7 linked regions of the Coturnix japonica genome follow. The protein of the gene in region 4 purifies or fractionates together with the protein of the main gene of each other region. This does not show direct contact. Links are inferred from orthologs where the notes say so. Each region holds a gene or a part of one and is shown on either strand. Other genes may lie near its edges.

Evidence for each region.
Region 1: the proteins of SRPK2 (region 4) and C2H1orf35 purify together in Homo sapiens (affinity purification with mass spectrometry; 3 studies listed by BioGRID and IntAct, with this or other methods). This does not show direct contact. The link is inferred for Coturnix japonica from reciprocal best matches to the Homo sapiens genes SRPK2 and C1orf35.
Region 2: the proteins of SRPK2 (region 4) and PNN purify together in Homo sapiens (affinity purification with mass spectrometry; 3 studies listed by BioGRID and IntAct, with this or other methods). This does not show direct contact. The link is inferred for Coturnix japonica from reciprocal best matches to the Homo sapiens genes SRPK2 and PNN.
Region 3: the proteins of SRPK2 (region 4) and DDX46 purify together in Homo sapiens (affinity purification with mass spectrometry; 4 studies listed by BioGRID and IntAct, with this or other methods). This does not show direct contact. The link is inferred for Coturnix japonica from reciprocal best matches to the Homo sapiens genes SRPK2 and DDX46.
Region 5: the proteins of SRPK2 (region 4) and RBM26 purify together in Homo sapiens (co-immunoprecipitation; 3 studies listed by BioGRID and IntAct, with this or other methods). This does not show direct contact. The link is inferred for Coturnix japonica from reciprocal best matches to the Homo sapiens genes SRPK2 and RBM26.
Region 6: the proteins of SRPK2 (region 4) and DIDO1 purify together in Homo sapiens (affinity purification with mass spectrometry; 3 studies listed by BioGRID and IntAct, with this or other methods). This does not show direct contact. The link is inferred for Coturnix japonica from reciprocal best matches to the Homo sapiens genes SRPK2 and DIDO1.
Region 7: the proteins of SRPK2 (region 4) and GNL2 purify together in Homo sapiens (affinity purification with mass spectrometry; 3 studies listed by BioGRID and IntAct, with this or other methods). This does not show direct contact. The link is inferred for Coturnix japonica from reciprocal best matches to the Homo sapiens genes SRPK2 and GNL2.

The regions. Positions count from the first base shown.
Region 1 is NC_029517.1:2,070,663-2,074,611, forward strand, and holds the start of C2H1orf35 (multiple myeloma tumor-associated protein 2), read left to right. Parts: upstream 1-1,149; 5' UTR 1,150-1,250; intron 1,251-1,274; exon of another isoform or gene 1,275-1,425; intron 1,426-1,985; 5' UTR 1,986-1,997; coding exon 1,998-2,091; intron 2,092-2,171; coding exon 2,172-2,322; intron 2,323-3,668; coding exon 3,669-3,714; intron 3,715-3,797; coding exon 3,798-3,877; intron 3,878-3,949. Other genes in the region: MRPL55 (39S ribosomal protein L55, mitochondrial), read left to right, coding at 585-756, 848-991.
Region 2 is NC_029520.1:34,113,753-34,117,775, reverse strand, and holds the start of PNN (pinin), read right to left. Parts: upstream 2,801-4,023; 5' UTR 2,700-2,800; coding exon 2,587-2,699; intron 2,441-2,586; coding exon 2,369-2,440; intron 1,626-2,368; coding exon 1,557-1,625; intron 455-1,556; exon of another isoform or gene 244-454; coding exon 171-243; exon of another isoform or gene 151-170; intron 91-150; coding exon 1-90. Other genes in the region: TRAPPC6B (trafficking protein particle complex subunit 6B), read left to right, coding at 3,743-3,823, 3,910-3,977. UniProt on the Homo sapiens protein: Transcriptional activator binding to the E-box 1 core sequence of the E-cadherin promoter gene; the core-binding sequence is 5'CAGGTG-3'. Capable of reversing CTBP1-mediated transcription repression.
Region 3 is NC_029528.1:2,449,291-2,453,382, reverse strand, and holds the start of DDX46 (probable ATP-dependent RNA helicase DDX46), read right to left. Parts: upstream 2,801-4,092; 5' UTR 2,683-2,800; coding exon 2,666-2,682; intron 1,299-2,665; coding exon 1,116-1,298; intron 875-1,115; coding exon 734-874; intron 1-733. UniProt on the Homo sapiens protein: Component of the 17S U2 SnRNP complex of the spliceosome, a large ribonucleoprotein complex that removes introns from transcribed pre-mRNAs.
Region 4 is NC_029516.1:12,444,130-12,447,629, forward strand, and holds part of SRPK2 (SRSF protein kinase 2), read right to left. Parts: intron 1,687-3,500; coding exon 1,586-1,686; intron 1,486-1,585; coding exon 1,378-1,485; intron 1-1,377. UniProt on the Homo sapiens protein: Serine/arginine-rich protein-specific kinase which specifically phosphorylates its substrates at serine residues located in regions rich in arginine/serine dipeptides, known as RS domains and is involved in the phosphorylation of SR splicing factors and the regulation of splicing.
Region 5 is NC_029516.1:137,286,013-137,289,512, forward strand, and holds part of RBM26 (RNA-binding protein 26), read left to right. Parts: intron 1-1,538; coding exon 1,539-1,657; intron 1,658-2,195; coding exon 2,196-2,332; intron 2,333-3,188; coding exon 3,189-3,277; intron 3,278-3,500. UniProt on the Homo sapiens protein: May be involved in the turnover of nuclear polyadenylated (pA+) RNA.
Region 6 is NC_029535.1:7,513,310-7,516,809, reverse strand, and holds part of DIDO1 (death-inducer obliterator 1), read left to right. Parts: intron 1-2,630; coding exon 2,631-3,500. UniProt on the Homo sapiens protein: Putative transcription factor, weakly pro-apoptotic when overexpressed. Tumor suppressor. Required for early embryonic stem cell development.
Region 7 is NC_029538.1:3,330,734-3,334,233, reverse strand, and holds part of GNL2 (nucleolar GTP-binding protein 2), read right to left. Parts: intron 3,465-3,500; coding exon 3,360-3,464; intron 3,249-3,359; coding exon 3,090-3,248; intron 2,941-3,089; coding exon 2,833-2,940; intron 2,552-2,832; coding exon 2,118-2,551; intron 1,507-2,117; coding exon 1,427-1,506; intron 738-1,426; coding exon 643-737; intron 1-642. UniProt on the Homo sapiens protein: GTPase that associates with pre-60S ribosomal subunits in the nucleolus and is required for their nuclear export and maturation.

The sequences.
Region 1 (3,949 bases), on a different chromosome or scaffold from region 4:
TCGGCCATTGGGAGCCCCAGTGTGGGGTCTGAAGAGCGGGTTCATCACCTGCCCTGTGGTAATCAACCCTCACACACTCAGGAGATACACTATGTAGTTGGGGACACTATGTATTTTGGGGTAGTCCAGGCCCTGGTGCTTGGTGCTTTCCCACAGATCAAATTCAGGCAGGAAACTCTGTTCTCCAGTGTCCCATCTAATTAATGTGCCCTTCAAGGCCTCTTTGAAAACCCGTCCAAGGGCAGTTTGTTGGTTATCTGGATACCAAGTATTGCTCTGCTCTTGTGCTGTGAGACCTCACCTGGAATGCTGTGTGCAGATGGCAATGGGGCAGTGAGGCACAGGTTGCCCAAGGAGGCTGTGGATGCCCCATCCCTGCAGGCATTCAAGGCCAGGCTGGATGTGGCTCTGGGCAGCCTGGGCTGCTGGTTGGTGACCCTGCACACAGCAGGGGGTTGGAATAGGATGAGCATCATGGGCCTTTTCAACCCAGGCCATTCAATGATTCTATGATTCTGCAACCCTTACAGTTCCCTTCCAGCTCAAATAACGCTACAGCTCCATGACTGCTTTCCCTCTTGCAGTGCCCTGCAGCCCCGCTGCCTTCACACATCCTGCAGCCGCCACAACTCCAACCGCACCTCCATCACCCACCTCCGCCGCCAGGTGTTCGGCCGCCTCTACCCGCTGCTGCTGGTCCGCACCGACGGCTCCACCATCCACATCCGCTACAAGGAGCCCAAAAGGATCCTCATGGTAAGAGGTTCGACACAACAATGAGTGCACTCAGGGCTGTGCTTTGCTTTGGGTGCTGCAGCCTCACCCTCTGCCATCCCTCCCCCTGCAGCTGCCCCTGGATAGCAGCACGTTGCCCGAGGCTGAGCGCAAGGCCCGGCTGAGGCGGCAGTTCCCCAGCAAACTGCGGGTCAAGCAGGAGGAGACATTGGAGGAGCTGGATTTGGAGAAATACAAGAAATTCTGGAAGAAATAAAGCACCGATTTGGGGTCACCTCCCACCAAGGCCTCCTTACCGAGCTGACAGACGCAGCTATAGAAATAAAAGCCATTTTGTTAAGGATTTATTAGGGTTTTTAGGTGGTTTTGCCTCATTTTACGCCTGCTTTGGGCCGTTTCCCTCCCCCCTCCTCTTCTCCCCCTCCACGCTGCGGTGGTACCGTCCTCCACCCCTCCGGGCCCGGTGGTACCACCCGGGGAGGGGCTGCAGTGCGCGGGCCCCGCGGCCCGGAGAGGTGCGTGCCGTTGTTGGGGGGGGTCGGGCTTTGGGGGTCTCGGGTTCGGCCGTTTTCCCTTCCACCGTCTCTATGATCCCGGTGTGCGGCCCCGGTCCCCTCCCTCCCGTGCCCCCGAGCTGTGCAGCCCCCGTTGGGCTGTCCCAGCTCATACAGACACCCATTGCCAGTACAGGTAACCCCCCCCAACCCACTCAGACCTCCATTGCCAAGCTATGTGTCCCCTCTCTAACCTATGCAAGCCCATTGCCAGCCCGTGTGTCCCTAATGGGTCATGCAGTCGCCTTCCTCCAACCCACTACAGATCTCATGTCCAGGCTTTGCAGTCCCCCTCTACCCCAAACCCATTCAACCCTCCATCTCCAGACTCCAACCCCACTGATCATGTAACCCCCCCCCTCCCCAAAGCTGTGCACCCTCCTCCACCTCCAGACATTGTAGAATCCACCCCATACTTTACCCTTCCCCTCTATTCTTTACAACCCCCCCCCAGCCCCCACCACTAAGGCATCATCGTGACCCCTGCTTGATACCTAAAACCTCCTATGGCTTTAGGATTGCAATAGGGGGCACCTCCCTGCCCTCCTTCCTCATTGCACTGCAGGGGAACCCTTCATCTCCCTCATCCCACCACAATGCATTGCTGGGGTGGCCCTGTGCCTCCCCATTCCTCCTCCCATTGCCCTGCAGGGGCAGCCTGCTGTTCTGCCATGATAACAGGGCCCATCCTTTTAGCACCCCGTCACCATGTTCGGCTCATCCCGAGGAGGGGTCCGGGGGGGCCAGGACCAGTTCAGCTGGGAAGACGTCAAGACAGACAAACAGCGCGAGAACTACCTGGGTAAGGCCTTCATCCCCAGCCCTGCGTGTGGGGTGAAGATAAAGGACTGGGGATAATGTGGAGCTGTTGTATCCCTGCAGGAAACTCTTTGATGGCACCGGTGGGACGCTGGCAGAAGGGCAAGGACCTGACGTGGTACGCCAAGGGCAAGCAGGAGCCCACCCCGCTGTCCCGTGAGGAGGAGCTGGCGGCCGTGCGCCTGGCTGAGCAGGAGGCCATGATGGCAGCACTGTGAGCACCTCCCTACAAACCCCCTGTGACAACCCTCCCCAAAAATAGACAGTCTGAACTGTGGTGGGCATGGAACATCAGGCATAATGGAATCACGGGCATGGAACAGTGGGCATGATGGAATCACGGGCATGGAACATTGGGCATGATGGAATCACGGGCATGGAACGGTGGGCATGACGGAATGGTGGGTGTGGGATGGTGGGCATGATGGAATGGTAGGCTTGGAATGGTGGGCATGGAACACTGGGCATGGAACATTGGGCATGATGGAATGGTAGGCATGGAATATTGGGCATGATAGAATAATGGGCATGGAATAGTGGGCATGGAACAGTGGGCATGATGGAGTCATGAGCATGGAACATTGGGCATGATAGAATAATGGGCATGGAACGATGGGCATGCAACACTTGGCATGGAATCGTGGGCATGATGGAATGGTGGGCATAGAATGGTGAGCATGGAACATTGGGTATGATGGAGTGGTGAGCATGGGATGGTAGGTGTGGAACATTGGGCATGATGGAATAATGGGCATGGAATGGTGGGCATGGAACATTGAGTATGATGGAGTGGTGGGCATGGAATAGTGGGTATGGAACACTGGGCATGATGGAATGGTGGGCATGGAATGGTGGGTGTGGAATGGTGGGCATGGAACATTGAGTATGATGGAATGGTAGGCTTGGAATAGTGGGCATGGAACAGTGGGTATGGAATGGTGGGCATAGAGCATTGGGCATGTTGGAATAATGGGCATGGAATGGTGGGCATGGAACACTGGGCACGATGGAATCATGAGCATGGAACATTGGACATGGAATGGTAGGCATGATGGGATGGTGGGCATGAAATGGTGGGCATGGAACATTGGGCATGATGGAATGGTAGGCTTGGAATGGTGGGCGTAGAACATTGGGTATGATGGAATGGTGAGCTTTGAACACTGAGCATGATGGAATGGTGGGCATGGAACATTGGGCGTGGAATGGTGGGCATGATGGAATAGTGGGGATGGAATGGTGGGCATGGAACATTGGGTATGATGGAACATTGGCCATGATGGAATGGCGGGTATGATGGAATAATGGGCATGGAACACTGGGCATAATGGAATAATGGGCATGGAATGGTGGGCATGGAACATTGGGCATGGAATGGTGGGCATGGAATATTGGGTATAATGGAGTGGTAGGCGTGGAATGCTGAGCATGGAATGGTGGGCTCTCATACTCCAAAATGGGGTTTGGATGGTGCTGTGCAGAGCTGGGGTTTAGACTTGAGGATCCTTATGTGTCCATTCTGAATGGGGCCATGCTGTGACTGCCTGCTTCTGTCACTAGGGGCTACAAGAACGTGAAGAGGCAGCCCACAGGCCTCAGCAAGGAGGTGAGGCCATCCCCGCTGTCCCTATAGGCCAGGACATCCCCCGTGCTCTGTGTTCCTATGGGCTCTCAATGTTTTGCCCACAGGACCTGGCTGAGGTTTGCAAACGGGACAGCACAGAGCGAGCCGAGGACATGGACCGGGTGGTGGGCTTGGGCAGCTCCAGGTGAGCACTGAAATGCTGCATTTCAGAGCAGCTGTTTAAAAACAAAACACAACGTTTATGTTGGGTTTTATG
Region 2 (4,023 bases), on a different chromosome or scaffold from region 4:
TTTTCCTTTCTCATCCATATTTTGATCTTGTATAAGGTCTCGACGTGTTCGCTCTTTGGAGGTAGCAACAACAGAAGATGGTAATGCTGGCTACAACGGAGAAATACAAACAACTCAGTTCATGTAAACGTTTTCTTTTTTCCTGCACAGCTCCCTTTGTTGTGAGTTACCTTTTTAATATCATCATCCTCTCCGTCACTTTCTTGGCGTGATTCTCTTCTGGTCCGACGCTCTCCACCCAGCCTGAGGAATAAAAAGCATTACTGGCCACTGGAGAACATGCATTAACAACAGCATCTACACAAGTCAGCATATATAGTCATCAGAATCAACAATCCCCATAAACCGTTGATCAGAAGAGTGGCAAGAGATAAATTTTTTAATGTAGCAGGTGAGAAAAGTGATTTAAGTTTTAATATAACTTTGGTATTAAAGTAAAAATGATGAACCCACATTACTGCACTATTTGACTTTTTAGCACAGCTTTGGATTTTGTTTCATTTGAGCTTTTCTTTTTCCAGAGTATCTAAAACGTTTATTTGGGTAAGAGAAATATGAGTTTGATTTAGAAGCATCAAGGCATCATAGAATTACTCAGGTTGGAAAAGACCTCAAAGATCATCAAGTCCAGCCTCAGCCTATTCATAGTACCCTAACTCTAAGATATGGAGATTAAGATTTTCTCAAATTCAAGAAGCTATTGAGGTTACCTAGGCAAATACCTGAAAATCAGTTAAGGACAGACAAAGCAATTAGCAGGGACCTGAGCCCTTGGATAACCTGAGGTTTTTAACACATAACAGCTCAGTAATGTATTAAACTTATTCTCAGCTTTTGCTCTGGGGCATAGCAGTTTGCTGCCAGTAAAGCATTTCACAATATATATTTTGTATAAATCAAAAATTCAAAAGCAAGTATTGCTTTTGTCAAGATTTACCACTGCATGTTAAGTACTCAGAAAAATGCAGCTCCCTATGGCCAAAGCCACATCTGATGGATCTGCATCCAGTTGGGAAAGCCTCCAATTTCTGCACAAACTGTCACACAGGAGGTATTAAGATTAATGAAAGGGAAATCCCAGTCACGATTTGTGTCTACTGTTAAACAAGTCTGGGCTAATATTGCAGTCTGCTGTATTAAATTCTGCATAAGTTTTCTGCTTTGCTTAGCATAAGTTTTTTAATCAGGCTTTTAGAATTTGGCATCTAACGCTGTAACTATATTCAGAAAATTGAAGAATACACTACAGCCTGCATCAAATACGCCCACAAAGTTAAAGGAGGAGCTTCGTGCAGAATGGATGAGGAACAAGAAATTCCCTCCCTAAAGGATGAAAAGTGCTCTTCACTACAGCACTTGCTACAGATTTCAACACCTTTGAGTTTTCTGCCCTTCATAAATATACAGAATTATTTAATTCCCCATATGGTTCTCTCCCCCATGATTCCACAGGCAACATAAGCCCTTGAAAGAAAGAAAGAATTATACATTTAAGTATCTCCACTGTGCAAGAATCACAGTAAAAGCAGGGTCTCCACATCCATCTTTCCACCCACCTGCTGGATGCCCCTTCAATATCCCTCTGTTTGGCTGGGGGTCCTCCTCCGCTATCCGAGAATCCACGCCTGAAAGGAAACCACTCGTGATCTCTGAACAAGGCACACTTTTTACTCAATTCTATACTCATTCAACGTTACTGCAGTAATAATGTATTTAAATGCACTGTTTGTGAATCAACCCATTTAAAGTTATTCAGAGGAGCTGCTGCACTCAAGCTACCTCAGTAGGTTCAAGAAGTTTCATTTTCTTAAGTGTTAAGGCCTCAGCAACAATTTGATATTGAAATTTAAAAGAATTAAAGAAACGTCCCATGTACTCAGGTAAGAAGAAACTACTGAACATGAGTCTGTTCTTGATTCTGGCTCTACCATGGAGCTGAGAAATAAAAGAGGGCAGAAAAGGTAAATTCACAAAGGAAATCCCCCTATGTGAGTTTTATGAATCCCGGTGACTTCCATTCTTTCTACTCTCCTTTGAAACACCACCAGTTTCTTAATTACCAAGACAGTGATTTTGCACCACTTCAAAGGAAGGAGGCCCAGGACACCAGAGCGCACCTCCCTTCATTCTGGAGGTCCTCCTTAACTTTAAGGCTAACAGCTGGAATCGCACCAAAAGGCACCAAGATCAAACCGGGCACTGCAGGCACCGCTATGGACCCCCGGGCGCTCCCGCAGGCCTCCCACTTGACTGCGTTGTTCCAGCTCCCGATCCCTTACGGTGAACACACGGATCAAAGCCGGCACACAGAACGCGCAAAGATAACAACCCGGAGTCGCGATAAAGCAGCAGAGCCGCATGTCCTTACCTCAGCAGTAAGCTCCCTCGCCCCCTACCTCCACCAGGGCCTGAGAGGGCCAGCAGTCTGTTCTGCGGGGGCCTGTGAACACAGCACATCGCTCAGCGGCACCGCCCGGCCCATCGCCGCCCTCCCACCCCCCGCGGGGCCGCAACCCGACGGCCCGGGGTGGCGCCGGGGGTGCGGGGGCGGCCTCCTCGAGTGGAGCCCGGTAAGCCGGCCCTCACCTCACATCGTTGGGGTCCCGGCCCGTGAGCTTGCGGATATTCTCATCCACGTGTTTCAGGCTCTCCTTGGCCTTCTCCAGCTGCTCCTGCAGCGCACGCACCGCCACCGCCATCCCGCGCGGCCTAGCCGGGCACGGCGCGAGGCACCGCTGGGTAACGGCGGGACAGGCCCCGCCCGGCAGCCAACACTCGGCTCCGCGAGGGAACGGACGGCGCAGCCAATAGCCCCGCGGCGGGTAACGCCGACAGCCAATAGGCGAGCTGCAAGAGAGAGGGTACGCCCCCGTGGGAAGAATCTCTGCACTCGGCCACCAATCACAAAGCTCAGAGACAGACTGACATCTTTCTTAGCCAATCACCGAGAGCCGCTGCCTGCCAGCTCTGCGAATCACAAAGCGGGAGGGCCAGAGCGACGTCTCTCGTGGCTAACGAGAAGTTACTTCGTCGCTTTGCTGCGGTGGGAGCCAATCACCTTCGAGCTACCACAGCCTCTGTGCCTGACGGACCAATCAGGAGGGGCGTTACAGCGGGCAGCCGCGTTGTACGCTCCCGCGCGGCGTAACGTGATCCCGTGTAACGGGGCAGCACGCGGGGCGCTGCGCTGCGCTGTACTGTACTGTACTGTACTGTGCTGTGTTCGCCCTCCGCTGCCCGCCGTTCTCACTGCACACGGTGCCGTTTTGGCTGCGGCCGCTCAGGCTGCACCCCGCCGGTTTCTCATAGTCTCACAGTCTCGTGCGGGTTGGAAGGGACCTTAGAGATCATCGAGTCCAACCCCCGGGATTCGAGCCTCTGTGTAGCAGAGCGGCACTTCTATCACTTGCGCCACAGGGGGGATTCGAACCCCGGGCCCCAGTGTTGCAAGGCGGCGTCTTTAACCACTGCGCCACCGGGGCACACACCGGTTGCCATCTTACAGAGGCAGAAAATGGGGGTTGAACATAAAGTGCCGCTTTGAAGGCGATGTAAAACAAACACACCGCACATCAGCGCTCTCCCCGCTCTCATACCCGCCCCAGAATCACTCCGCCTCTCCCAGTCCCGGCCCCGAGCCCTCCCGCTCCCGGAAGGGGCGGTGCAGCGCAGCGCAGCGGCTCCCGTTGGCTGCGGGCCGTTGCCGTGACGGCGGGCGGGGGCCGCCCGTAGGGGAGCGGCCATGGCGGACGAGGCGCTGTTCCTGCTGCTGCACAACGAGATGGTGGCGGGGCTGTACCGCGCCGCCGAGCAAGGCGAAGGGGTGAGTGGGGCCGCTGCCCGCCCCAGAGGCCGTCAGGCGGCGGCCGGCCCCGAGGCTGAGGCGGCGGCCGCCCTTGTGTCTTGCAGGAGAACGGCCGCTGCACCACCAAACTGGAGAGCATGGGATTCCGCGTCGGGCAGGGACTGATCGAGAGGTGGGTGTGTAGTTCTGTAATTGGCACGATTTCCCTGTCCTGAGGG
Region 3 (4,092 bases), on a different chromosome or scaffold from region 4:
ATTTCTAGGAGAAGGTAAAGTGATCTTGCTTCCTGCTATGGAAGTCTGAATGTTCCTCTGCACACTACTGCCTTAAGGACACTGAAACACCTCTATCTGGGAAAAGCTACTTATAGCAGTACTTATATGTACTTATATATATAGTACTTGTCGTATGCAACATGCAGACTTCCATTTAAAACAAAACCCACTTATCACAGATTTTGTTATCATAACATGTTTCCTATTAAAAAGAAACGTATCTGAACCAAATGTTTGCTAGCTCATAACAATAAATGTAAAATTCACTTTAGCCAATTAAATCTCATTGAGATCACTTCACAGCCCACTGAAAGATTAATTCTAATGCCAGCCATATGATTATCCTGAAAGACTCATTCCAGCTGCTCATAATTTCTGGATTGTTGTCAACCTGCTTGTTCTCTATCCAGACTGCTGTTAGAACTTGTGGATCTACTACTCATCTTACAAAAAACATTCTCACAACAAACAGCATTAGAAATAATTATGCATACCCAGAATAGCATTTACGGCCCCTCAAGTAAGGAATATAAAAATACTTAGTCCTTCAAGGGACATTAAGCGATGGGAAATTACAGTATGCTAGGAAAATTCTCCTTGCTCTATACACAAAATCTTTGGTTGGTTTTGCACAATGATTCCTTCCAATATATCAGTATGTTTACAGTAATGAGTAACTATGATCCGGACTGTAACTACAGAACACAAATACCTGTTTTCTGTCTTCCTGTTCTTGCTTGGACTGGGGGATCGAGACCGTCTGCCTCTGCTTCTGCTCCTGGAGCGCCTTCTCTCTCGGCTTCGTGATCTTCTTCTCTCCCGACTCCGTTCCCTTTCTCTACTTCTTGAACGTCTGCCCCAGAACAAAAGTGTACTTACTCAGCATGTGGCAACAGTGTAATTTTGGCTTTTAAAAGGAATCCAATAATCACCAAGGATCACTAACAGCTTACAAACACCAGCACCAGCAACAAGACATTACTTAATAAGCCAAAATATTAAGTTCTATCATGAGCAACAACAAAGTAAACAGCTGTAGAGGAAGAATATCAGCACTGGATAGCAAGCATTCTTCCCTACTTTGGAGCTCATACCTCTGGCGCTTCCTGTCACGTGAGCGTGACCTCCTCTTGTCCCTGCTGCGCGATCGCTCCCGTCTGCGATCCCGATCTCTGCTCCTGGAGCGTCTGTCCTCACGTTTCCTTTTATCAGATGGAGAACGACTTCTAGAGCGGCTCCCGGAGCGTCCCCGCGACGCAGAGCGCTTCCGATAATGCCTGCGTTGTGAAGTCACAGGATAAAGATAAGCACAAGTTTGAGGACAGTTCGGGAAGTGGGAAGAAGCAGAGAAAGCAAGACCTCAAGTCCCCCATGTCCCTTCCCTTTTGTCACTGCCAACAGAACTGTATTACAACAGTGCTGGCACTAAAAATAATAGAGTTTATTTCAGCACATCGGTATATTTAGGTACCATGTACATTTGGAATCAGTGCAGTAGCAGCGTGACATCTATATCCTGCCTACAGCAGTATGACTGAACGTGGAGAACATCAGTCACTGTCAGATATCTCTGATTTCTTCCCATCTCAGCCCCAAAATGCCATGAGAACTGCTCCCCATTTCCCCCCAAGATTTCTTTTTCTTCCTCTACAACGTGTAACAAATCTGGGCATCTCATTTCAGTCTGATGAGTCCCTACAGCAACTCCAGGACCTACCCTGCCCTTCTCCACCCCCCACTCCCTCTCACTCTCACCATCTTTTAAAGCATTTTGAACACTATAAACCACGTTAGACAGCTGAGTTTGAAACCCCATATTACTTTATTGATTGATTGATTTTAATTGATACAACCCAGTTCACCATGCAGCTGCCCCACAACATAAAGACTTGCAGAAGGGGATGGAGCTTCTAGGAGAGCAAGGGATGCAAGTGGGAGCAGCGGGGGCTGCTTATACAATTAGAGCCCCGTGGCCTGCTTTGACAAACACACTGTGAGTGCTTTCTGCAGACTTTTCTGTTCAGTCCAACCCTAAAGCCCATCTAAAACCACATTATCAGAATGGAAGCTGTACTGAGGTAAGCAAAGGAGTCCTGAGAGATCCAAAGGCAGCACCAGGAGCTGCCAGCAGATTTTGTAGCCTGCAGACTGTTATCAGGCTGTTAACATTGTTTCAGGGTTAAAATCTGATGATAAACTAGTCAGTACAAATGTAACAACAGCATGAGCACACGGCACAGCTGGTTTAAAGCCCAACGGGTGCGAGCAGCTCCACAGCACCCGGCAGCACCGACCGAGACACACAAGGAGCGTGTGATCACATTACTGCTGAATTAGTTAAAACGCCCAGTGAGGTGTTTGTGTCAGCTGCGAGGACAAAAGGTCCAAGATGACGCTGAAACTTGAAGAGATACGTGCCATAAACGCCTCAACAACAGGAATCAAACACTAAAATCCCGATCTCTCGGCCCGGCCGCAGCTGCTCACAGCGGCGCAAGGACCCGCGCGGTCCCTCAGCGCAGCGCAGGCCGCTTCGTGCGGCCTTTGTTCCCACACGCAGCCGCCCGGCCGCTATCGAAGCACCCGCGGGCCCCGGAGCGGGTCGTGCCGCCTGTGTCCCCGTCCGTGTCCCCGCTGCCCTCACCTGGACTCCCGGCCCATGGCGGTTCGGCGGTGCGGGCCCTGCGCTACCACACGGCGGCCATTCGGCGCCTCAGCACCGGAACGACGAGGCGAGGCGGCAGCGCGGCGGGAAGCGGCCTGAACCACTTCCTGCCCGTCACGGCGCCGCAGCGCCCCCTGGCGGCCGGAGGGCGCAGCGCAGTGTGAGCGGGCGGGACAACGCGGAAATAAAACGGGGAAGAAAAGGAAAATAAAGTGTTTGTGGGTCGGGCTGGGTCCGACAGGAGAGATGGGATAAAATAACCCCTGCAGCACCACGTCCTGCTCCAGAGACCTCAGTGAGCACAATGCACGTCACCAGAGCGACATGCACTGCGGCTGTGAAGCACCAAGGTCACACTTGTGTGGTAGGAAACCAAAAGAACCAAAAGCACCAACGCTCCAGAAGCGATTTAACACAGCACGACTTGCTGGGCTGACAGATGATATTCTGACCACAAAGGAAGGGGGTAACAAATTTAATAGAAAACAATCGGTTCAGCAATAGACATTAAACAACATCCATCCACAAAGATAAGTTAAAACGGAATGAAGGAGATTCATTTCTTGGCCTAAGGTGAGGAGTTGCCCAGCAGAAGCCCCAACCAGCCCTTTGCCATCCCTCATAGACAACAGGTCCATGTTCCAGCCCCACCTGGAAGCCCAGCAGCTATTTCAATGTGGTGGGACTCCTGTCCATCTCAGGAGCTTTACTTCTATCTGTGCTAACGGGTTTAAGTCAGAACTTTTTCCAACCCAGCCTCGGACACCTGAAATACAACATTCATTGGAAAATAAAGAAACAAACAACTGTTAAAGTGATACACAGGCCGTCATGCCACAAATGTATCTAACATAAGAGCCTGAAGCCCAGTGCTGGCTATTTGGAATGACACCTCACCAACATCCTTACAATGGAAAACAAGAACATTCATTAACCTGCTCCTTCAGCCAGGACTCACTTATATCTGTTGTTTTTTCAGCTACACGGCTGGACACCCATAGGACAAATACACTTTCTATATGTGGCAGTCAATTAAAAACAGCAGTTTGTTTCTTATTTTACTCTCACGTGTAACGCGTGGGGTTTAAAACAGGGATAGCTAATAGGATTTCATTGGGGCAAAACAGTGAAGGGAATGGTTAGCAACTCAGTTACCATCCACAGATCTGCTGAATCAAAGGCCCTATTGACAGTGCTGGGCTGTAGGACGGTGGCACAGCAGTAGCAGAACTCCTCGGCAATGATGGTTCTGTTTACATGCAACTGGTTGATCGTGAACGTATCGAGATAATGAAGGTCATGTAGGAAAAAACCCGTCATAGGCAGCCCTGCAAAAAGCTATTTTTACATCTAACAAACATCTGACATTGCAGCTCGGTGGCTGCTCTGTCCAACTTCCCCCTCCT
Region 4 (3,500 bases):
AAGATCTTGCAATATAAGAACTCATACATTGTGCCTCAGATCCCACCCTTCAAAAGGGGTTTTCTCTATTTAAAAGGAACAATAAAGCAACTCCCACCACGTGCCAATTAGCAGGATGTAGGCTGAACCAGTACAACCTTTAAGACTATACAGTAATATAGAGTATTCAGTACTGTAACAAGGTTTCAAGTAGAACAGAAGTTCGCAAAATATCAGATATAAGGAATGAAAAGTTTCTATAGTATTCTTACAGCTAATTATGGGAAGAATAAATAAAGAATTCGGGTTCAAAATTGTAGAAAATTTTCTATGCTTTGTTTTCAATCCAATAGAAAAATTCTACATTTTGCCTCAAAATGGAAGAGTAAATTTAGAAATGGATGTTCTTTTCCATCAACTAAAAGAAAAACTAGTGTTGAACTCCAGAGAACACATACTTGCAGATTTACTTATAGTCAGTTACTTCCAACACATGGCTTGCTGAGCTTATAATATCTGTAGGATTTTATGTTCCTTTCAGTCCTCCTCCTCTCCGAGTTCTGCAATTCTTCTCATCACCCACGCCTGCAAACTGTGTCTAGTATTTAAGTGTTCTCCTCCTCATCACACACTTAATCTTTTCAGATACATATTTGTAAAATATAATGACTCGAATAAGTTTTCACTTTTTAAATAGACAAAGGTACTTCTAAACGTGTTTCCAACTCTAATGAGAAAATGCACGTAGATTACTTGTCCTGGAAGTGAGACTGCAAACAGAATCAGTGTTTCAGAAAGTGCAACAATTAGCCTTTCATCCTTCCTACACTTTAAAGCTTTTAAAACACACATCAGTTTTACTGTGTTAAAACAAATTCGACACAACATTACCACATACTTTGCTAATAGAATAAATTCCTTCCCTTCAAGATTAGAGTCTAAAGCTGCGATCTGCAAACCTACTCTGACAAACGCTTTCACTGAAGTTGGCAAAATTTAAAGTATTTCAGGTTTTCACTATTTTATGCAAGAAAAAGGAAACAGCGCAGGATTGCACAGTCTAATACAGGAACAAAGTATACAGTCATACTACTTCAATTGGATTTTGACATTTAAAATACACACATCTTTCCCTTCAAGCTTACATATTTTTAACTGCAGATTTTAAATGCCTGAAATGAAAACCAGAACATTTCTCCAAAATACCTCCTGTTGATTAAAGACGATTAAAATACTGAAGTAAAAGGGAACAACAATCAGCTGCTGTCTGACGGTATATAATCTATAGCGTTACATTTCTGTCAAAATATCAGAATTATCCTCGTCAGATTCCTTCCCTCAGTAAACAACTATTTTTAGGATTCTTTTCTTGAAAAATACACACTGTACAGTTCTTACCATACATGCTGTACTCCAGATATCTGCAGGTGTACTGTAACCCGCTCCTATTAAAACCTCTATGGATCTATATTGTCTGGTCTGGATGTCTTCTGTGAAGTGTTTATGCTAAAACAGAAAGAATCACATTAATGGCAAAAATGAGCAATAAAAAGGGCTGTTCTACACAGAGAAGACTAGAGAGTTGAATTGATGTAGTTACACTTACCACCCAGCAGGCATTTCCCAGGTCAGCAATTTTAACTCTAATTTTATCTGCATTTCGTGGGTCCAGTGGATTCACCAGTAAGTCAGCAGCACGAGTTTTTGCTAATACAAACAAAAGGCAGAAGAGTATTCAGAACATGCTACTCGTTTTCTGCAAGTGACTTTGTTGAACATTAGGAGAAATTAAAGCAACATAAACAGGATTTCAATTTCTTACCTCGATTTCTAAACATCCTCACACATACTAAGCACGTTTTTTAATAAACTTCCATATACCTATTATTAAAATATGTGGCAGAGCATCTACGTAAAAATGAAGCATATTTCCATGACAAAACAAGTTAAAACTCAAACTGCACATAAAAGACATTCTTTAAATGGTTTGATTGAGAAAATGAATCCATCCCTTCCACTCCTGGTTAAGGTACCTGAAGTTTGGCTGTTGATATTTTGTTGTTTTTCTTTTCAGATCTGCCCCACTGGGAAAGGAATGATCAGAACTTGGCAGATTTCAGAGCCCAGCAGCCTGTTACCCATTTCACAGATAATTCAACATTGAATCAAAGTTCTCTGAAGGATCTATTTGCACTAAACATGATTCAAAGTAAAACTGCAAAACTGCGATCTAATTAATCCAGCAATCTGTATATTCTCCTGAGACACTGGAGGTTCTAACATACAATTCTTGAGGACTCCTCCTTTTTTCTTGCTATTTTTACATACCACCTGCTGACTCCTAACACGTGTGGGGAAGAAAGCAGGTTGCCTTAAACGTGGAAGAAAGAACCAAGTATCACAAGTACAATAACACCAGAGGGACCATCAGTTTCTTCATCTCAAAGCCACAAGAACTCAACCAGAAACTGATGGTGAGACATGAAAGAGATACCAGATCTGAAAGGCATCTGGGAATCCAGAGGGGATATAATGATCAGTTAAACCTGCATAAGTATATTAGAAGAAGAAAACACACGGCACATGAGACAAGGAGGAAAATGAGAGGAAGTCTAGCAGGATGAGTTGCAAATGACTGAAACAAGATGCAGATCTTGAAGTACTGGGACAAGAAGTGCAAATGAGCAACCATGGCACTAAATAATGGCCATCTGGAAAAGAAAATGGCAGAACTTACCAGGGAAGAAAAGAAAACACTAAATGGCAGAAGACAGAACAGGCAGTGACCTCAACAAAACAGTCCTCTAAAAGAGCTGTAACTGAGTGCAAGGCTCAAGTTCTAAAAAAGCACCATCAGAGAGTGTAAAAGTAAAATACACTGAGAGAGTATTAAGGTTGCTTTCTACCCCTGAAAAGACAGAAAATACTTAAAGTCTTCCCTTAAGACCATGCAGCATAGCACAGTCAAATTTTTTTTAAACACAAACCCATGCACTATTCATGAAATAACAGGAGTCAGTTCAGTAGCCTTGCTATTGCTGAAATAAATCCTTCTCATGCATCTTGTTGAAGGTGAAGGACTGCAGTAAATAAAGCAGGAGAATGAAGAAGGAAAAAATGGCTTTGTTAGTGAGACATCTGAAAATGACATTAGGAAGCATTTTGCAACCTCCCTTTAACACAGTGAACAGGCAAAGGTAACAGCCAAGTGCCTCCATCTTCATGTTTTTCTCATGAGCTCAGTGAGCTTGTGTTCTTTATTTTCTGAGATGAATGAGACACCTCAGATTCTGACTTAGACTAACACCGATAATTCACAACTAGCTGTGAAGTCAAAAAGACGGTACTTCTTAGTAAGAACTCTTTAAAAGCACCCTGTGATACTCAACCTGAGGGCAAACTTAGTGAGCATTTCTAATTTTCACTTCTGTGTGTCCCAGTTTTGTAAAACTGAGAAATATCACCTCCTCTTCTCACAGTCACACCATGACAATATACTTAGTAAACATTCAGACACTGGA
Region 5 (3,500 bases), about 120 Mb from region 4:
CAAAAAATGGTGGGAACTCAAATAAAAAGTGAGCTCTCTTGGCTGGGACCTCTCTCTGCCAGCTACCTCATTGCACAGACAGCCTTAAGGCGTGGGCTTCCAGATGGTCTGGGTGGGTGATGTGCAATTCTGCTGTTCTTGATATATAGAGTCACGTTCCTGTTTCTGAGGTGACTTGATGTTTGAGCAGCAGTCTTGTAGGTAGACAATTATTAAATCTGAACTGGAGTAAACCAGATGTGATGCTCAGAAGACAAATTTTCTGAAGAATTTTCAGTCATTGTGCAGCCTGTTACTCAATTGGCAGCATATATTTGTGTTTTGTTGGTTTTGTGTGTGCAGATTCTTTTGGGGTTGAAACTGGTTGTAAACTCCCATCTCCTATATCTATGAATAATGCAGGCTAACACAGAAGATTGTGCTCTGTCCCTTAGCAGCTCATGTTGCTTCTGCAGCATGAAATACTGCTGTTGCCTGTTTTCTTCAGGGTACTGGGTTATGTTTGAAGCTTTGACCTCTAACTTTAGAGAGCACAATTGTGAGCCCAAGGTATCCTCAGGGCCTGCTTAAGACAGATGCTGACAGATCTGCTTCCTTTGCTTAATGGATATGTTTGTGTGGAGAATGTGGTGCTGGAGATAGCTTCTTTGAGGAAAGGAATTATGTAGTGTGATATCTAGCATGATATTGTGAAGGATGTGCTTTCAGGGCCTGAAACACATTAGTTATCAACAGTTAGACTTTTCATTAAGCCTCAGTGCTGAAATTTCATATGTTTTAATGTAGAAGAGATTGGGAGTAGCTGTTCTATTCTGTTCAGCTATCGTGGACGTATTCACTGGAAATGTATTTATATAACACCGAAATTCAGTGCAACAACCTGAGTATATTTTAATTTCCCTCATTTCACAGTTGTTTTTGATGCAGAGAATATACAGTTAGGATGCATCAGTGTGATCGTCTTTCCTCATTGGTTTCTTAAAACTATTGCTTAAGTAGTAGTATTAAGTAGTATTAACTTTGGTCATCACCCAGACAGCTGGCTGTCTCTAACACATCATCAATGTGCATATGGTAATGGAAATCTTCATTTCAGTAGCATAGTTTCTGCTATATTATTTCTTTCATTTCTATTCACATAGGCTAACTTTACACTACTAAGAGTTACCCAGTACTACAGATCAGTCTTCACTGATTTCATAATGGAGAAATTATGGAAGTACTTATTGTAGCTCTTATTATTCTTCAGGACTATTAGGCAGTTGAAGCCCTAAATAGTTTGTTCTAGTTTGCTTTGAAATGGTGTGTGGAGTATTGTTTGGAAAATCTCACTTCTAAGAAATTACTTCTCTGAAGAAAAATGTGATGCTTAGTGATCTTTCATCTCTGGACTCACTCTTAGAAAATACCCCCAGATGTTTTTCGATTACTTTACAAGTAAAGATTTCGATCCTCTATATGGAATTGGTGATACTAGTTTTAGATATTCAGTTTCATAATTTAATCTCTTCTGTGTGTTTTTGTTAATCTGTTTGCAGATGTGATGCAGATCCATCTGCCCTAGCTAAATATGTTCTGGCTTTGGTAAAGAAGGATAAAAGTGAAAAGGAGCTGAAGGCATTGTGTGTTGATCAGCTGGATGTATTTCTTCAGAAAGGTATGTCATGACTCTTAAGCTTGATTGAAAAGTTTAATTCAAACAGACTTTTAATGTAGACTTCTTTGTCCATTTCTTCATCAGCTTTATTACTTGAAAGTATGTATTTCAATTTGCATGAAGGAATAAAAAAGAAAAAAGGACAAAAGCCACAGGTTTTGCATAATTTATAGATTTAATTTCTTTGTTTTATTTCTTAAGTGTGTATTTTTTTTGTCTGTTTTTATTCCTGGAAGAAAACTAAGAATGTTAGGAATTACTGCCTGAATTAGAAGCCCTGAATCTTTCTGTATGTTAAAAAATGTTCTTCTAGGTGGTTGATAAGAAGATACCAAAAATATGAATGCCTATATGAAACACTGTAATTATTGACATGTTTCTTGACCTTGTAAAAGTCCTTTTGAAATACGAAGTATAAAAGCAAAGTTGAGGAGGGTGGGGGGAATGTGCAAATAATTGTTTGAACTTTTTTGAACTTTTTTAGTTTTTAAAAGCATATATTAGGTTTGAAGACTGAATATTTATTCTTTACTTTTAGAAACTCAGATATTTGTGGAAAAACTGTTTGATGCTGTGAATACAAAAAGCTATCTACCTCCACCAGAACAGCCATCATCAGGAAGCCTAAAAGTAGAGTTCTTTCAACACCAGGAGAAGGAGACAAAAAAAGAAGAGGTAAACGCTGACATCATTTTATCTGTGTACCTTTTTTTATTCCTTCCCATGACTTACTTATTTAGTTCAACTGCATCATGTGTGTTTATTAATAGCCCCAAGTTTAGTATCAAAATTTGCACTGCAACTTTAAGATGTCTGGTGGTTTGTGTCTCATATGTTAAGCACAGCGTTTCTGAACATAAGAACGTAGGTAATAGAATTTCCTGAGTAAATCAAAATGGTTCTTACTGTGCAAATGGAAACAGAGTTCCTGGGTATTGCAGAATGTGCGGCACAATCCAATCTGCATTAGTTTTTTTGCTCAGGAGACTGCTCTAATTAATGCTGCCCTTTTAATTTGCCATTTCAAATGACAGTACTCATTCATTAAGCTGTTTGATCCTGGAAATGTTCTGGCACTGGTGTTTACATGGTTCTATGACCCAGAGAAGAGTAGGTTAGCCCTTTTTCAATAGCTGCTTAGGTTTGGTTGCATGAGTGTTTAACCATTATGTCAACAATGTAATCTGCTGAAAAGACGTTATTATGCCACTCATGGAACATTCCTGTGTACCCAGGTCTTTCACTGTAGCTCAATATGGATTTCTCCACCTGTATCAAAAGTAGTTGTATTTCCAGTGCAGCATAATAAACATTTCTTATACTACTTAATCTTCTCCCAAACAGTGCTCTGAGTATCCTCAGAAATGAGAAATTTAGTATATTATTATATTAGAAGTAAAAATCTTATTCTGTTTCAATTGTTGCTGCAGATTCTGTTCAGTACTTGAGATTTTTGTTTTTATTTGGTTGTACAGAATTCTTTGGTATAGTGTACTGATGTGTTGATCTAATATATATAATTAAAATTCAGATAGTTAAAGAGGAAGAGCGAGAGAAGAAGTTCTCCAGAAGACTAAATCACAGCCCTCCTCAGTCAAGTTCACGCTGTAGAGACACCAGGTAATAAACTTTTCTGAATCTCTTGTATTGTATCTTTGTGACATTACAAATATTTCCTTTACATACAGTCACCTATTAAGTCTAAAATAAAACAGTTGCAACTCAACAAGTGTGCCCCGGTGGCGCAGTGGTTAAAGACGCCGCCTTGCAACACTGGGGCCCGTAGTTCGAATCCCCCCTATGGCGCAAGTGGTAGAAGTGCCGCTCTGCTACACAGAGGCTC
Region 6 (3,500 bases), on a different chromosome or scaffold from region 4:
TCACTGCTGAGTCCATTCAGGCTGTACATTGTGGATGGTCTTTTTCCCACCAAAGATGTCTTTTGAACTATGCCTTGAGGTTAAACGTTAATGTGTATGTAATGTATTGTGATCAGAATGGCTGGAGCTGATTCTAGGCAAAGGATGCAAATGAATTTTGTGATTGGATGAACCAAGATTTCATACAGTGCTTTTCAGATAATCTTGGATTCACTGGAGATAACTGTTTTGTTCCTGTCCTGCCTGTTTTCATTGTTCATCTCACCATCCCTGCCTCACTTCTGAGAGAATATACTGCAGATTGGAAATTATTACAGAAAGCAGCACGTCCAACACCCTCTCAGCCACAGAACTACATCAAACTCAGACGCTGAACTGCGAAATCAACTATGGATATCTAGAATACATTCAATTGAATTTCATTATTCTTCTTTCTCATTGTACTTAAAATGAGAGCTATTTCTGATGGGAAATCTTGATCAAAATTTAGATTGGCCTCCATTTGTTTCTGGCCTGTTGTAAAGAGAACTTCTAGTGCCTGTCCAGCTTTAGCTGCTCTCCCCATCACATGAGTAAAACAGACTCACTGTGATATTACCAGTTACCATCAGAAGAACGCAGTTTCAGAGGAGAGATTGTTCCTTGGTTCTGAAGAGGTCTCATAAGACTTTCAAGTTAGTTTACTTTACTTGAAATAATTATGGTCCTTGTTAATTACAGTTACATTTTTGGAGAGTAAGGTTTAAATGGAATAAGAATGGAGGATGAGAAATGCAAGCATTGATGATGATGGGGGTGAGGTTTTGTTAACAGAAATTAAGCCTTAATGAAATATGTAGCAAATGTTGCCAATAGTAGGTTTTAAAGCAGTGGTAGTTTTGCAGTGTTATTGTGGCAGACCATAAATAGTTCTTGCAGTGAAAATTTTTACAGAAGAAGAAATTTTAACTTCCCTGGTCAAAATGTAGCTCAGGTTTATCTGTATGTGATGGTATCTTCTCACCTAGAAAGCTGCAGTTAGAAATAAGCTTATCTCATTTTACTGGTTTCTGAGTTTAATCTTAGCAACCATAACTTAGAGAAGATGAATAGAAATTCAGCTACATAAATGAGAACAGCTGATACAATGGTCTAATTAGTGAATATAGGAGCTTAAAGCTTTGCATTGGGTTGTTTCATCTCAAGTGTGTACTTAATGACTATTGTTCACAAATAGAATTTATCTGCATCAATGGGATTTCTACTACTTTATATACTGCTGTTATCTAGGAGCTTTCGGTGGTATAAACTGTCCCTTAGTGAGCAGAGGGTTTTGTTTAGTAAGAGCAACAAAAGATATATGTATATTAGTATCTTATGCTTTTAAAACTCCTACAGGTTCATGAGTGGAAGGAGCAGTATAGGGTTTTGATTCCTTGCTGTTTAACCACACTGAATATTATGTTACTGGACCATTTGTTTTGTGTTCTTGTATTTCTCCTTCCTAGCTGGTTGCAGATAGTAGTTAATGTGGTCCCTAAAAAGGATTCTTTGAAGTCATTAAATCCGGAAGTTAAGCCTTTCTTCATACAGTTTTTCTACATTTGCCTTTACACGTATGTTAAAGGATTCATTCCCTGCCCTTTATTCTGGTCATGTTTATTTTCCACAAGTGCCAGTGGGAATTGTGAATGTAAGGGGAAGAAACACAATAACATGAAACAGGCGCATGGATGTTTGTGTTTTCCCTCTTTCCAGAAACTTTCTGGTCATTTTTGGATAAACGTTTCCGAAGATTCAAGTCAGAAGCTTTCACAGTGGAGCAGTTCTGCTCACAGTGCCTGTGGCATCAAACTGAATCCTACAACAGAGGGTTAAAAAACAGCTTGTTAAATTGCCAGACATACCAAATTCACACCCAACTAAATGCTTTCTTGGAGAGAAAGCAAACATACCCGGTGTCCCTTTCTCCCACTTGCTAAACACGTATCTGCTTAAACTCTCATGTGCTGGTTTAGTATGTTACTTATCAGTTTCTCTACTTCTTAATGTATGTTAAAAATGGTATCTAGCTGGGGAAAAAAGAATAACCAGAGTCAGTTATGAGCTTTAATATTGTTTCCAAACACAGTTTGTTTAAGGTTGCTGTTGTTATGAATTTTAATAGTGCCAAGTGGTTTATCTGTAAGAAAAAAAAACAAAGGAAGGTTTTCTAATAGCATTAGAGTTTTCTTTTCTTCAGCTATGCTTCTTAAATTCCAGCTTAGCCCTACAGAAAGGTAGATGGCTTGTCCAACATCTCTGTGTATACAACATTATGACAAACTATTTTACAGGAACTGTTTGAGTCGGGAACGGACAAGAATAAAATAATAATACAAAGATGAGAACTTTCTTTAATACGGTGTTAAAGAAATCTTAAGAAAGGGGTTGAGATATTTCTTCTCACATACAAATGCATATATAAATAGTAAAGAAATGTGGATATGTATGTGTGTGGACTAATAGAATTGCTAGTAAGTCATCACATGAAATTCAGAAGAACTTATTGTTACAACATCTGTAGCTACCGGTATATAATGTAATAAGTTTCTATTGAAAGTATTGATACAAATGTTTTTTACATATACAGTCTTTGTGTTCTCTTTCAGGTCTTGAATCATCACGTCCAAATTTAATTCTTGGATTGGTCATCTGTCAAAAAGGGAAACGTCTTGCTACTGGCATGGAAGCAGACAAAATAGAGGAAAAGCGAAGTCGGATTCAATTGCAAGAGGAAGCAGAACCATCTCAGTTCCTGAAGGGGCCAGCAACTTCTTTCCAAGAAAAGAAAACTCCAAAATACACACTTTATTCTGGAGACTCAGCTGTAAGTACAACACCACCTGGGTCTCCTCCGCCGCCGCCTCCACCCCCACTTCCCGTTCCGGAAAGCTCAACAGTTACACCTTCGGTATTAAAGATACTGTCCTCGATTAAAAGCGGAACCACAACTACTGCACCACCACCGCCACCACCACCAGTTTCAGCTACTGCTTCTCCAAGTGGTGCTGCTACACATTCTTCATCTTCAAAAACGGCCACTCCTCTTGAGCACATCCTGCAGACACTTTTTGGAAAGAAGAAATCTTTTGAACCTGTTCCCAAGGATTCTGAAACTGCCCAGTCTTCAAATCAGAAAGCTCAGGCAGCTGCTGAGGGAGGTGTGACGGCTGTTCCTTTGTTAGATCCCATTGTACAACAGTTTGGCCAGATGTCAAAAGACAAAGCTATAGAAGAGGAGGAAGACGACAGACCATATGATCCCGAGGAAGAATATGATCCAGAGAAAGCTTTTGAAATGCAGACAGGTGAAAGTGAAAAACTCTATAATGTGGAAAAGCCGAGTAATACAGCAATACTAGAGGATGAGGCCTATGATCCAGAAGATGAAACTATCTTGGAAGAAGCAAAAGTTGCTGTTGATGATTTACCAAACAAAATGTATACGGATACTAAAAGCAGTGCTGCAGAAACATCTG
Region 7 (3,500 bases), on a different chromosome or scaffold from region 4:
TACATACAGCTATACAAAATCCACCCAGCTCAAGCTCTTAAAATGTCACATAATAGGATAGAGTTTAATCTCTACAAATATAGAGAAGAATTACAAGGAAACTGATGTGTGTAGTCACAGAGACTGTGGCCAAACCTGCATGAATAGTCACTCTTCATCTGACAGTCCTAATAGTCCATATATATTAATACCCCACCCCCCAAAAAACCAACCAACAAAAACCCAAACCCCTTGCTGTACAGGATTTGCTTATACATCGCTTTAACATGCTACAAACACCAAGTGAGTCTGTTTAGACTCAACAAACACAAGAAATAGGAGCAGCAGCTCTTGCTGTACAGAACAGCCACTGACTTTAGCCCATCTAGATCTCTTATCTGTCAGATGTAGATCCCTGCTCTCTCACCAGCATCACTGGGTAAGCAGAACAGTTATCTACAAAGGATTCTCCTTTTCAACACTGTCATTATTGCCTGCTGGTGCCTCTAATGGGCACATGGCCTGCTGGAACATATTGCTGTCACATTAGACAGCTACTAATGTCAGATTTCAAACCTCTCAAATAATAATGGACAATCCATTCAGGAAAGAGCCAGCTCAATTACTCCACTCATCCATTACACAATGAGAGATCCCACTTACCTCTTTGGATGTAAGCTTCTTGCAAGGCTGTTTACCCGAATGGTCTTCATCATCCTCCTCTTCTATATTCCTTTTTCTTTTCTTCACTGTGCCACCTGCAAACAGCAGAGATTATGGACTCCAGCATCTTCCACAACACCACAGAATTAAGACTGGGGTCACTGTCCCATCTATTTCAGCATAGCAATCCTTTGATGGTATTTTAATAGCTTTTACCAAAACAACATGTCTGTCCCTTACCAGAAAACCACTCATGATAAGCAGATTGCTTCAAGCCTTACATAAGCCTAGAAAAATGTCAGTCTTGTCACTATAGGGTTCTCCCACATTATTCTGCCTTTAATCAAACTTGCTTTGGAAACTGAAGACACAGACCCTCAAAAAAGTGACCACAGTAAAACCTATAGCCTGCAGTAGCTCTGTGCTTTTATAATGTCATAAAATGCTTCCACCCCCTGCTGTGTAATACTATACCGTGTGGAATGGATGTTGCTGAGACAGCAAACCACCCACAGCACCATTCTGCTGAGAGCACAACATTTGTCTTTATCTTCACTCAGTAGCAGAGATCACATTTTACTATACAGGCTCTACAGCTCTATAGAAAGACTATAACAAGCTCATGAGGCAGCCCTTAGATTCACTAAGCTGAGGTTTATATAGCAGCTTTAGGGAAATAAGAACTTGCAGTGAGGAGCTAATGAACACCCTTCCTTAAATCCCCTATTTTCTCTCTCTTATTGGATTTCCAGACAGAGATCAGGAACTACCAATTTCATTTTACCTTTCTCTTCCTTTTCTTTGGTCTCTTCAGCCTTCTGCACAGATTTTGCAAACACTTTTTCACTCAGCTGCTTAGGGATTCTACAAAAGATAAAACAGACAGCAAAAGAATGTCATAATACAAAACTCAGCCATCTCTAAGAAGCGATCCATCTCTGATAGGTCCCAGCAGCCTGTCATCAGTACAGCCGCAGACTTTGCATGGTAGAAATATTCCAGTAATCTTGTCTCTAGAGTTACTGGACTTCTGCATTGCACAAAGGGCAAAATTTAACACTTATTCTTGACGTCTTAGTCCTCACAAACATGGTGGATGAGCTCCGCTAAAATTGGGCCTGTCATACGAGCTGGGATGCTCTTGTAAATGCACAGAGACTCATGTACAGATAGGACACTGGCCTCTGTATTACTCAAGAAAGGTCAATATCAGGGAGATGCAAGGAAGAAATATTGCTACCCACAGGTTTCTAAACCATACCTGAACCAACAGTGAGAAAAACTTCCGTTATTATGGCCAATAGAAATTCTTAGAACACTCTCTCAAAAACAAACTGCTGCTTAGCCAAAAGAAAGCATGGCTAAAGTAGAGAAGCAATGGACATAAAGGCAGTGGAACTACAACAGAAACTCACCATCTCTTTCCCACCCCCCCGCAATGGAAAACACTCGAGTCACTAAACAGATTCAGATACCTTATTGCTGAGAACCTCTTGGCTTTGGCCTTATCCAGAAATTTCTTGCACTTTGCAATCTTCTCCTCCAAAGCCTGAAGAACTTCCTTCGAGCTCTCCCTGGCACTCTGTACAGTTGGCTCTGATTCTTCCTCTACTGAATCTTGATGTTGCTCATTTTCTTCTTCCTCTTCTTCCTGTTCCTCCTCTTCAGGAGCATCACTGTCTGTTTCATCAAAGCCTGGCACATCTACAGGAATTAAGTCTTCTTCTGAGAACTCAGGTGCTACATTAATCCTCCCAAAGTTTTGCCGAACATTTGCCATGAGCTGCTTCATTTCAGTGTCTGCATTCTTCTTCTCTTCCGTTGGCTCCACATTTGATGCAACAGACTCAGAAATTTCCTTCTCATTATTAAATTGGCTTGATGTCATTGCTCCTTCCGATGCGGGTGGCTAGGAAAAAGGGCGTAATGGATATATTATCCACAGCCTGTCCAAACATCCCCTTGGACGAAGCCTAAGATAACTAACAACGTGGTAATTACTGACATTTCTACTAGTTGGATGACTGCAAAACAGTTCAGACATCTCTGTGGAAGAGTTCTTTGCTATCCGGTGCTCTGAATCATGTCAGGAAAAGCCCAATTTACATGGTGCTCTGGCAAAAGCATCAGTGAGTATCATTAGAAGAATGGAATAATATGCAAGAAGAGGCACGAGCCTCACATCCTTACCTCAGCAGCTGCTTCTGCATTTGGTGGCTTCACAAAGAACGGAATTCTGCCCCTCTGCCAGTCATTGAGAACCATCTTGCTGACAGTTTGCAGATCAGGCTCACCACCCTGAAAGAATTCAGTAACAGTTTCTGTCCTTGTTTGCAGGGCATACCATCTTTATATTATCTCTTTGCAACTGAAACGTATTTCGCACTTCCAGTGCAGAAACAAACCCACATGCTCTTCCAACCTGTAAATACAGGATGCTCTCAAACCTTTAGTAGTTTTCCAGTCCTAGCAGCAAGCTTCTCAAGGAAATCTTCTGTATCTTTCCAGAAATCAATTTTGTATGTCTTTCTGATGTACTCTGGCTTGGCTCTTTCCAGCACCGCACTAATGTGATCTTCAGGGCTCTTAATCTTTTCAACTTGAACCTAAAAATGAATGGTAAAGTATCAACCCTTTGGAAAGCGTGCAGACACTTCTTTGAACTCACCATGGTGAAAACAGCAAGAATTTTCCCTGCACACAGCACAGATACATACCACTCCCTTCAGAACAATGTCTGTTTCTGAGTCTCCAGATGGATACACCACCCCTGGGCAGTCAATGAGAAAAATCCTCCTCATCAAAGTAATGTATTGCCACACCTGAAAGATATCAGTGATCCCCACGTTACCTCCTCT